Nothobranchius furzeri: one gene and its partners. The protein of the gene in region 3 interacts with the protein of the main gene of each other region in a pairwise test. Links are inferred from orthologs where the notes say so. Each region holds a gene or a part of one and is shown on either strand. Other genes may lie near its edges. The genes, in order: rnf8, tnmd and tmem79b.

Region 1 (3,752 bases), on a different chromosome or scaffold from region 3:
TGTTCTTCTCCCCTCTGTGAATGAAGATGGGATGGGACTCCGCTGCCTCTGCAACAATGCCACATCACGTCATGGATGGGAAGGGTTTATTTACTGCTGTGGGGGCTGACTGACAGCTCCGAGGCTAACTTCTGCAGGTTTAAGAGCTGACAAGCTTTAAGACAGCAAAAAAATAAAAAGCTAAACAAGCCGTCCTCGCTGTTCCAGATGTTTACACTCAATCGTACAAAAATAAGACACACATGTTGAATGTAACTCACATTTGGTACTCGTCTATAGCCTCTACCAATTGTCCCCACGAGTCAAAGTCTGTGCCTTTCTTGAAACTGGCGTGCCATTTCTGAATAGTCTTGTTGACATCAGACATTTTGGCGGGGCGGATACTCGCGGCGCTCTCAGGGCAGCATAGCCGAGGTGGAGATTTATTTACGCAGCTTCGGCAGCCTGGTTATCTCCCGTCCAGACATACGCGGATAAGACCGGTGACACACGGACCAAGCCCTTTCTGCCTGTTCAACACTGGGACTTCCGGTGCAGACAGGAAGTCCCGCCCCGGGGTTAGGTGCACTCGTTTTAGGGTGCTGGGTTGCCTGACTGAGAACAAATCACAACAACAAAGTGCTCTAATTTGAATTTTCGATAAAAAAAATTCATTGCTTTAAAAAAAATTTAAACTTCATAAAGCAAAAATATATTTAATATATTAAAATATTTATCATCCAAAATACTAGCATTTACTTTTTAACGTTACTTTCATGTTTAAAAATGTCAATAAATAAAGAGTAACGTATCCCAGAAACCTATTCTATTCATACTTTTTTATTTATTTTGCCTTGTTCAAAAGATTTACAACACGTGATACGTGCCGTTATACAAGAAATAATAAATAAAACATTGATATTTATTTTAGCAGTTTCCCGTCGCTTTTATTTCGAAATGAATTGTACCGTTTTCCGGTGTCTCCCGGATCGCTACCGCGTTAGCATGTAGCAGTTATGTGACGGAAGACACACATCGACATATACATATAAGACACAACAACAGCGGAGTGTTTGGCCTGTGACAGAATGGCTTAACATGGATAGTGCAACGGCGGATTCATGTTCGGCTGAGGACGGTGAATGTTCGGACTCGGAGGTCTTGTGTCTGATGAGAGTCGGAAAAAAATCAGACTGGCTTCGTTTGTTCGAAAAGGCAGAGGTACAGTTTGCTAATGTTAGCTTAACTAAAAAAAATCATTTTCAGGATTGTGCTATGTATACATACAATAGGCATGCCATTTTATTCATTAAGTTTTTTCTAACGGCGTAGTGGACCCTGTTTATATGGAAAAACTGTAAATTGACGTTTGTTTTTGACTGCTCAGATCACTGTTGGACGTGGTTTGGATGTCACCTACCAGCTGCTGTCTTCAAGTAGTCCTCTCATGATCTCCAGACTGCACTGTGCCTTCAGACAGATAGAAGACGGTCACTGGACAGTGGTAGACAAAAAGGTAGCCTTATTTCTTGAGCTAACTCTCCTAAAATTGATCTCTAACAGATGATGGGGCTATTATTAACAGCAGCAGCTAATACCAAGTTAAATCTTAGTAAATAAGTTATTATTATTATTATTATTATTAATTATCTTCCACAGAGTCTCAATGGTGTCTGGGTGAACGGAAATCGGATTTCTGCCGATGAACCTTACCTGCTCAAACTTGGAGACTCGATCCGACTTGGAGTTCCTTTATCAGGAACCAAAGTAGAATTTGATTACATCCTCATCCGGCGACTGCTCAGAAACATTCAGCCGTACCTGGCAAAGGCATGTAGAACTTGGGCTAAAGAGCCGCAAGTCTCCAAAAAATCCAAAAGGAAGTTGACTGTGGAGGAAGTCGAGCCTTCTACATCAAAGCCTAAGCTGTACCGCTGCGATTCAGAAGGGAAATCTTTTGCAAAACCCTGTCCTCTGTCTGCGGTGAAATGCCAGCAGCGGCTCAGTAACACACACCTGGAGGAGACGGCATCCAGCACACAAAAACAAGAGCAGCACTCTGATGGATCCAGTGATCCTTGTGAAGTGGACAACCTGCAGAGGTAAAGTGTGACTCCTCGTAAAAAAGGTTCTCAATCAAACCAAAGACACTGCTCCTTTACAAGCTTTTATTTAATACATTTGCTGAATTATGTGTCACATATTCAAACAGACTCCTCTCTACTTTTAATGAAAATAATACTCTTTAGGAGTTGTCCATTCTGATGTTCTGTTGTGTAAAAGTTGTAAATATTAATGTATAACCTGCAGGTACAGCCAGAATCTCCTGCTGTTACGGGAGCAGGTGGATGACACCCAGAAGCAGGTATCATCTCTTGGAGGAGAACCCAGGCGGGCAGATCCTCTCCGACGGGAGCAGGTCCGTGAGCTGCAGGGTCAACTGGAAACCCTTAGAGCCAAAATGTGTCAAATGAAGACTTTAGAGAGAACCTTCAGTAAAACAAGGAGACAGTTGGAGGTCAGGAGTGTTGTTTTTTTTTCTTTTTGAAACATCGTTACATTTTCATTCCCCCAACCCGCAATTGCTTTATTTTACAGCGTTAGTTTAACTTTTAATTCTCCACATTTCAAAATGATTCAGCCATACTTTAAATAATCTTGGTAACGTTGCAAAAAAAAGATCTTAAACATAACAAAACCTGTTAAAGAGCTACATTTCTGCATCATATTCCATATCGATATTAATATTCCAGAGCATATTAATATTGAGCATCTTTTTTGGGGTTTCAAACAAAAGCGCCACATATGGAAAGTAACACGTTCCTCACCCTTCTTGTTCTGACATATGTGAATCAAAAGGTTCATCTGCATTTACAATTAGAAAAATATATATGTCCATAAAAATAAAGTTTCAATTTAAGTGAATCGTCTGTCTTTTATGCGTTTAGGAGCAGAAAACACAGCAGCAAGAGGAGCTAATGAAAAAACAACTTGAAGAGGCTCTTCAGGAAGTAAGAAGGTTCAATTAAACTAATTAAAAGCTGTTAACACATTTAATTTAAACTAACAGTTTTTTAGTTTATTTCTTTAAGTTTTTGATTAAATGTAATAAAAAGTTTTTTTGTGCCTGTTTTTTCAACAAACAGCAAAAGAAAGTGATCGACGAGCTTGCCGACTCTCGAAAAACATTTGAAGAAATCCTCTCTGCGAAAAACAAAGAACTAGAAGAAACAAAGGTGCCTGAAAGACACTTTTTAAAACACACATTTTTACCTTGGTTGTCACTTTGATTCATATTTTTTTTCCTCCAGGAGGAAAAAGAAAAGGCGAAAGCCCAAAAGGAGGAGGTAGTAACACAAGTCACAGAGGTTCTGGAGAACGAGCTCCAGTGCATCATCTGCTCAGAGCTCTTCATCGAGGTAGAGCCAGGAACCTGTTTGGGATCATCTTACTCACAAAAACCCGACTTCACCTGCTGAAATTAAAAAAAAATGTCCCTGTACAGGCGGTCATCCTGAACTGTGCTCACAGCTTCTGCTGTTACTGCATCAAGTTGTGGCGCAAGAAGAAAAACGAGTGTCCCATCTGTAGACAGGCTATCGAGTCCCAGACCCGGTGTCTGGCCCTGGACAACTGCATCAACCGTATGGTGGAGAACCTGAGCCTGGACATGAAGGCCCGGCGGCAGACGCTCATCACTGAAAGGAAAGGTGAGAGGTGTGTTCTCATCATCCACGCCAAACTCATAGAAATGAATCATCCATCTTTGATCT
Region 2 (3,652 bases), on a different chromosome or scaffold from region 3:
TTACATTTGAAGTGTTTATAGAGGCTGTAGAAACCCACATGCCAGCACTAAAAGATGCAAAAGGGGAGGTTTTTTGTTTTGTTTTGATTTAAAGCTCTTTAAAATACAAAGCAGGGCATTATAAAGAAACATTATCTCTGCTGTTTTGATCAGCGGATGAATGTGATGAGCTCTGCTCTGAGATTTAATAACACACCCAGGCATGTGCTTCAAGCTCATGAAAAGCGGTGATCAGTGTGTGTGAAATAATACCAACAAGTGTGGAGATTAGAGAAGTCATGCTTTGATTCGCTACATCTTATTGAATGACTGACACAGTTTTCTACTCTGCCGACTCATTCACATCCACTGTCTCATATTATGCACAGAGGGGTGTGTGTGTGTGTGTGTGTGTGTGTGTGTGTGTGTGTGTGTGTGTGTGTGTGTGTGTGTGTGTGTGTGTGTGTGTGTGTGTGTGTGTGTGTGTGTGTGTGTGTGTGTGTGTGTGTGTGTGTGTGTGTGTGTGTGTGTGTGTGTGTGTGTGATGAAATCAGATGCAGCGAGGAGGTAATGGTTTCTACTCCTCATTAATGCTGCCTGTTTGTGAGTGACTGTCTCAGATTTCCCAAGGTGAACTATTCTTATCATGGCAGCTTCCCAGCAGAGACAGCAACTCAGAGCAAGAGTGATTAATATGTAGGCTCCGTTTTTAAAAAGGGTAGCTCTGATTAATTCTCTTTAAGGTACAATGCTGCCTATTGGCTGTTTGTTTTGATGAACGTCATTTGAATAAAATATTTTCCTCATTTTCCGAGCCGCAGCCCCAGACTTGGTTACATCCTGGTTCAGGCTGCGAGGAGGAGATAAGATTATCATTGGTCCATTGACAGCTTTCGTGTTGTTTCCATAACAGATTGTTGCCTGGGAGCTGATGACCTGAAACCTGGCTGGAACAATAAATCATTAAAAGCTTACCAGTGCCTGTCATAGTAATAAATCAAACCCATCTATCCTCGATATCATCTGTTGCAGCGCCTTTCTACGTGTTTTTAAAAATGTCTCACAAGTGTGTAATGTCATTCAGTTTATCAGAGCTCTCATCAAACCTCCTGATTGGTCATTGTTGTATGAAATTCAAAGCAGCTGGCTCCCACATAATAACACAAACAAAATGGCCATGACTGACTGCTCGGTGGCTTGCAGAGTAGATGCGAGAAATCCCCTTATCCCCCCGCCCTGCTCAAGGTGGAGGACTGAAGGGACTTGGCTCTGTTTCCCTCTGGGTCCAGTCCTCTTAAACATTTCCTATTCCCAAAAGTGGCTGTGTTTTGTTCCGCACCACTGCACGTAGCTGAGTCATTGTAAGCATTCCTTGCGCCGGTTTGTTCTGAATTCGAAGGCCGTCCCGGATCCGTGGAGATTAACGAGACCGAGACGGACCGTCTCAGAGGATTCATTTACTAAAAGAGATTGCAATGTTGTCAAAAGCGTGCTGAGGGCAGCCGCTGTCTCAACCCGCACCACCCGTTAAGTGGTACTTTTTCGAACACCATTTGGAGTTGTTCTTGATCAGAGGCATGGCAGTCAGCCCAAAGAGTCAATGAGGGCATGAACCAACCAGCACAATGGAAAAATCCAAGGGCCATTAATTCTACCCAATTTACCTTTCGTTTGGGTTTCATTTGGCTCCTCCATAAATTCAGAGGCAGCCAGCAAGAGCAAATGAAAGAATCCTTCTTAGGCGATCATTACTCTGCTAATTGCTTCAGGAATGTGCCTTGCACTTAAAGTCAAGGTCAGGGGGAGGGCATCAAGACGTGAGGAGCTCTGATTTGAATGCTCTGGTGGAGGAGGGACAGCCGTTTCTAGTGCAGTGTGTGCTGCAGTGGAGGGAGTTAAGAGGTCAGAGATGAAAGAAATAGTTTAATTATGTTTGTAACTAGCAACTCACAGTGTCTCAGACAGAAGATGATGCTGGTAGAGAGGTTGTGGCTGACTTCCCTGAGTAACTGCTAGTCGCGCTACCTCTGGTGTCATGAAAAGGTCAGGGGCGTTACATTTTACTCCTCCGAAGCTCAATTCAGACCTGTCTCTCTCTCTCTCTGTTATCTTGATCTCTGTCAGAGTCATTAAGCATGACACAACTTTGCATTTTCACAGAAATCAGTTCTGATCTTTTCACTCTTGTTTGGTTTTTACATACATCGCACTGACCTAGAACCAAGAGTAGCCTCATCAATTCACGTCATCCCGCTCCTCTTCCTCCTCTCTCCTGCCCTTGCCTCTGGAGGACTGGCATTTGTCATGTGTGTGTGTGATTGCAACCCTGTGTCCTCTGCAGAGGGATGTTGGAATCGAGCTGGATCACCGCCTGGATGACCGCGGCTTCTGCTGTCAGCACTGTCGCCGTGGTTACCGCTACTGTCAACGCTACCACGAGCCCCTGGGTGGATTCAACCCATGGCCATACTACTACCAAGGAGGCCGGGTCATCTGTCAGATCGTGATGCCATGCAACTGGTGGATCGCTCGTATGCTGGGGAGGATCTGATGTTTGTGTCGTCTCTGATGAATATTCCAGAATACCCCCTTTTGAGACCAAAGCAGGGACATGTACTTTGATTTTTTTCTTTTTACCATCAAAAACAAATCAACCAAACAAGGCATTTGAAATGTAATGATGCTTTCCTGAAAGGTACATATACACTAGAGCAGTGGTTCTCAGTCCTGGTTCTGGAGGACCGGTACCCAGCATGTTTTAGTCTTAACCCTGCCTCAACACACCTGATTTCAATCAGCAGGTGATTACCAGGCTTCTGCAGAGCCTGATGAGCTGCTGCAGGTGATTCAACCACTGAATCAAGCGTTGCTGCAGGGAAACAAGTAAAACGTGCTGGATGGCGGCCCTCCAGGACCACTGCATTTTAGTTCAATGTATGTAATAATAATCAAAGTGTATTGGGTATTTTAGCCGCTTACTTCTTTGGCTTGCTTCAATTTTTATCTTACAAGATTTAAAGCTAATATTGTATTAACATGTACATGCCATGTATTTTTTCTTAAATGTGCTATAAGGCGTTTTCAGTTTCCAACAGAGCATAACCTGATCTATGTTTACTGGCATTTTCAGACAGCAAAACATTGTTTGTTGTTAGTTAAAGTCTAAACATGCAACATGGTTTCATGAGGAGAAATCAAACCTGCCACTCCATCGAATCCCAAAGAGCAATCCAGAATGGAGATCTAATTGGATATCTGTCACTGAAAGGAGGGCTGCAGGGTTATAACTGTTGATTTACCTTATGTAGAGAGTCGTAGCTGAGGTCCAAGGAGGTGAAGATGTTCATTTGTGGAGTTTCCATGATGTGCAGCCAAATCATTGAAGAACTTTACATTCCTCACCCAACACCATAATTAAATTTCTATATTTTTAGAAGTTCCCCTCAAGAATAGTTGCTACATGCTTACAGAAGAACGACAACATGACCAATTATCACATAATATTTAGCAAACCTCGACTGCAAACTGCCGTTCAAGATGGGGGCAAAACAAATATTTCTGAGTAGGGCCTTTGGAATCAGACGTTCAACCAAGATATTGTAAACGTAGTCCGCCAGAAGCAGGAATTGATGTAGGTGGTGAGGCAACAAGTCAGTCTTATATGCTACCTGAA
Region 3 (3,752 bases):
TGTCAAAAAAAAAAAACGTTTTTCTTGAGAAACTTTGAAGAAAAAATGTCCAAGAAAAGACAAAACTTACATATCGTCAACAGAGCTACTCCAACATGCAGCCACCCAGAGCAGATCAGTTCCGAAAAGTTCAGTCATCATGCCGCTGGGTTGATCCCCAAGGCCGCCTACCTAGGGCCTATCATCAGGTGTCAGGTAACACCAGGGCTGACTCTACCGAATTTGGTACCCCAGGCTTGATCCTTCGCGCTCCCCGTCCTTGCCACATGCACGCACGCACACACTGCACCCCCCACAAACACATACACACACAGACTCGCAATGATCATACATTTTAAACTCTCATTTAAATTAGACTTTCATTGAAATCACTTTTAGCTTCTTCTACTGCTTTAATAAACTCCCTTTTCTCTTCCTGCAGATTCTCTCTGAGAAGTTGAATATTTAATTCCTCTTTGAGCAGAAATTGTCTATCTAATCTAATGCTGTAATTCTGTCTTTTTCTGCTCAAACTCTGATTTCTGGTTCTCCAGATGAATGTTTTCAGCTTTTAAACATTTCTTCACATCATTTAGAGTCTGTCGTTTCTCCGCTATGTCCTGTTCAAAATTTTCTTTAGAGTTTAAAAACTAATTTCTGGTTTTCCAGGTGAATGTGTCATGTTCTGTGTCCCCTTGGTCCCCAGCCCCCTCCTGTTCTCCCTCAGGTTCTCCTCATGTGTCTTCTTGTGTTCCCCAGCTCCCTCTAGGCTTTCCTCATGTTTTCCTCCTCCCTTGTAATTCCCATTTGTTTGCATTAGTCCTCCTCACCCCTGTAGTTAATCGAGCAGCCTATTTGCCTGCACTTTTGAAGCTGACGGGGGTCAGCTTCACAGAGCTCCCACAGCTGAGGAGGGAAAGAGGAGGTAAACAGCGAGTGGATCACAAGGACTGAACTGATGTTTTTGAGCAAAACTGCGGTAAAAATGGCTGTTTGTCCTCATTATCAAGTGTTTGTATTTGGGTTTGTGGTTAAATTATGAAAATGTTTGAAGTGGATGCTCGGGGAATGTCTGAATATTAGTGAGTTTAAGAAACAGTGCATTTTTTTTCATGGTCAGTAGGTGAATATTGTTTATTTAATAATTTTTTATAGGTTAGATATTGTTGTGAAGCTCTTGGCTATGATTGTATGATATGTGAAGAGTATTGTTGAGATTGATAGTATTCGATTATGATTGGAAGCCCAATTAGTAAATGACATTAACTTAAAAGGAAGGGGTGGGTCATGTTTTACTTCCATCTTCTCCTTTTCAGACATGGAAATTTATTATTTTATTCAAAGTTATGATTTCTCCATTTTATTATTTTTTTAGTTGCATCTTTCAATTATGTGTGAAAATGTTTGCTTATTTTGTCCTTTTTACACGTTTGAAAGCTTTAAACTAAACTAAACGAAACTAAAGATTTTTCTGCGTAATTAAGGAATTTATTGAACATCCATCCTGCTCAGAATGGAAGACTGAAACATTTCCCCACTGAGGGACAATAATAATGCTCAGTTTCAATAAACGCTGTTTGCTTTTCAGAGGCTTTCTGATCACCTGGGAGGATTTTCTGTCGGCAGGCATTTAACCAATACTGGCCCTTTAAGCAGGCTTTCTTATTTACCTGAGAGACCACACCTGACGTTGACTTCCGCAAAATTTCACAACAGAATTTCCAGGTGGCAGAAGTTAGAGGTGAGAACTCAGGTCCAGGAAAAAAAACAAAACAAGAACCTTAAATAAAACTGGAGAAAGAAGGACCGAGGACCAGAACCAGGTACTGGACCCAGATGTGTTTGTTTGTGACGCTTTCCATGATGTTAGCATGTTAGCTCGTCTCTGGTCAACAGGTGATTCCAGGTGATCGCGTGTCCCCAATGACGTCAGATTGTAAACACTGTCTTAAAATTCTTTAAAAGAATCAAGATAGATGTTAAAAAAAGCAACAACCCAGGAAGCCATGATGTCTTTGACAGTGCCTCTGGTATCTTTATCGAAAACAAAATAAAACTTGATTAGGGCGGTCAGTCAAGAAAATATTAGTATTTATTCACGATTAATCGCGGGAGTGTTTAACCAATTCCAACATGGTACTCATAAATTCAGCATAATGTGACATATTGATGGCTTCTGATGCAGGAGCAGACAAATACCTCATATGTAAATGTAGGCCTATTCAAAACAACAATAAACAGCCTATGTTGCAGCTAAAGTTCATGGAGCTGAAGTTTCTTTCTATTTCTAATTTCCATTTAGAAAAATGGCTAAAGAACCATTTCAACTGATTCTAGCAGAATGTGTCCAGATTTTAGTTTGTGGTTGGTGAAACCATCCTTTATTAGAGCAGACAGCTCAAAACCACAGATTATTCTGAGACTGTGTACTGGGTTGACTAACCCTAATCCAGTTTGTGATTTATGAAAGTTTAATATAGAGCATTTCCAGCACTTCTTTTGCATCTGGAATTTATTGAAACAGGTCCTGCTCAAAAAGTGCAAAAGTCTATATATATATATATATATATATATATATATATATATATATATATATATATTTTTTTTTTTATCTTGCAAAGCAAGACAAGAAAGCAGTGAAGAGCTTGTCAAGTTCATAGAGATGCAGGGGAAACTCTTAATTGTGAATAATTGTCCCAGGCCTTACCTATACGTTACTCAAAAGCTTTAGGTGAAATCCAAACAGGCAGGTTGTGGCCCCACGTACAGTGAGGAGGTGGACTGATGAGTGTGAGGAGGTTCTCAAGGACTGCTTCAACACCACGGTGTGGACAGATCTCTGTGATCCACATGGGGAAGACATTAATGCCATCACAGATTGCATCACGGACTACATAAACTTCTGTTTTGAGAACACCGTTCCCTCCAGGACGGTGTGGTGCTCCGCGAACACCAAACCATGGATCACCCCCAACATCAAAACTCTCTTAAAGGAGAAAAAGAGAGCCTTCAAATCTGGGGACAAGGAGTAGCTGAGAACCGTTCAGAAGGAGCTGAGGAGGAAGATTAGGGAGGCCAGCTACAATAGGAAAATGGAGAAGCAAAACACCCCACTCACAGGGGGAGGGGGACCTGAAGTGGCCCAACTACCTAAACCTGTATTTCAATAGGTTTGACCAAGCACCCACCCCTTCCCCCACACAGCCTCATTCAAATAACTCGACACCTGGAAGACCCCCTACAACTACAGCCCTTCACACCTCTGGCTCCTCCATTCGCACCATCGTGCATCCCCCAGGACTCGGCCCCCTCCCCAGTACAGAGCCCCACTGCCCACTCCTCTCCTTTACAACAGGCCAGGTGACGAGAGAGCAGATGCAGATCAAAGCGAAAAAAGCTGCTGGTCCTGACAATATTAGCTCCAGTCTCCTTAAATCCTGCGCAGATGAACTGAGTGGAGTTATAGAGCATGTCTTCAACCTGAGCCTCAAGCTGAGGGTGGTACCTCAGCTCTGGAAGACCTCCTGTGTGGTTCCAGTGCCGAAGACACGAAAAGCTAATGAGCTCAGTAGCTACCGGCCGGTGGCTCTCACATCCCACCTGATGAAGACACTGGAGAGACTGATCCTGGGACACCTCCGGTCTACTGTGGGACCTTCGACGTATCCATTGCAGTTTGCTTACCGACCAGTGGTTGGAGTAGAAGGTCTCACAACACAGACAGGAAGGAAGGGCCAGAGCAGGCTCCACCTCCTGAGGAGACTACGGTCTTT

The links.
Region 1: the proteins of tmem79b (region 3) and rnf8 interact in binary tests that used the Homo sapiens proteins (3 or more experiments, as listed by UniProt). The two-hybrid records come from large-scale screens. The link is inferred for Nothobranchius furzeri from reciprocal best matches to the Homo sapiens genes TMEM79 and RNF8.
Region 2: the proteins of tmem79b (region 3) and tnmd interact in binary tests that used the Homo sapiens proteins (3 or more experiments, as listed by UniProt). The two-hybrid records come from large-scale screens. The link is inferred for Nothobranchius furzeri from reciprocal best matches to the Homo sapiens genes TMEM79 and TNMD.

Annotation. Positions count from the first base shown.
Region 1 is NC_091742.1:8,358,964-8,362,715, forward strand, and holds the start of rnf8 (E3 ubiquitin-protein ligase rnf8), read left to right. Parts: upstream 1-946; 5' UTR 947-1,077; coding exon 1,078-1,200; intron 1,201-1,366; coding exon 1,367-1,495; intron 1,496-1,638; coding exon 1,639-2,081; intron 2,082-2,289; coding exon 2,290-2,497; intron 2,498-2,927; coding exon 2,928-2,990; intron 2,991-3,125; coding exon 3,126-3,215; intron 3,216-3,290; coding exon 3,291-3,398; intron 3,399-3,484; coding exon 3,485-3,689; coding exon of another isoform or gene 3,690-3,696; intron 3,697-3,752. Other genes in the region: aida (axin interactor, dorsalization-associated protein), read right to left, coding at 261-367. UniProt on the Homo sapiens protein: E3 ubiquitin-protein ligase that plays a key role in DNA damage signaling via 2 distinct roles: by mediating the 'Lys-63'-linked ubiquitination of histones H2A and H2AX and promoting the recruitment of DNA repair proteins at double-strand breaks (DSBs) sites, and by catalyzing 'Lys-48'-linked ubiquitination to remove target proteins from DNA damage sites.
Region 2 is NC_091741.1:85,815,560-85,819,211, reverse strand, and holds part of tnmd (tenomodulin), read left to right. Parts: intron 1-2,320; coding exon 2,321-2,530; 3' UTR 2,531-3,652. UniProt on the Homo sapiens protein: May be an angiogenesis inhibitor.
Region 3 is NC_091745.1:66,341,475-66,345,226, forward strand, and holds the start of tmem79b (transmembrane protein 79), read left to right. Parts: upstream 1-1,553; 5' UTR 1,554-1,720; intron 1,721-3,752.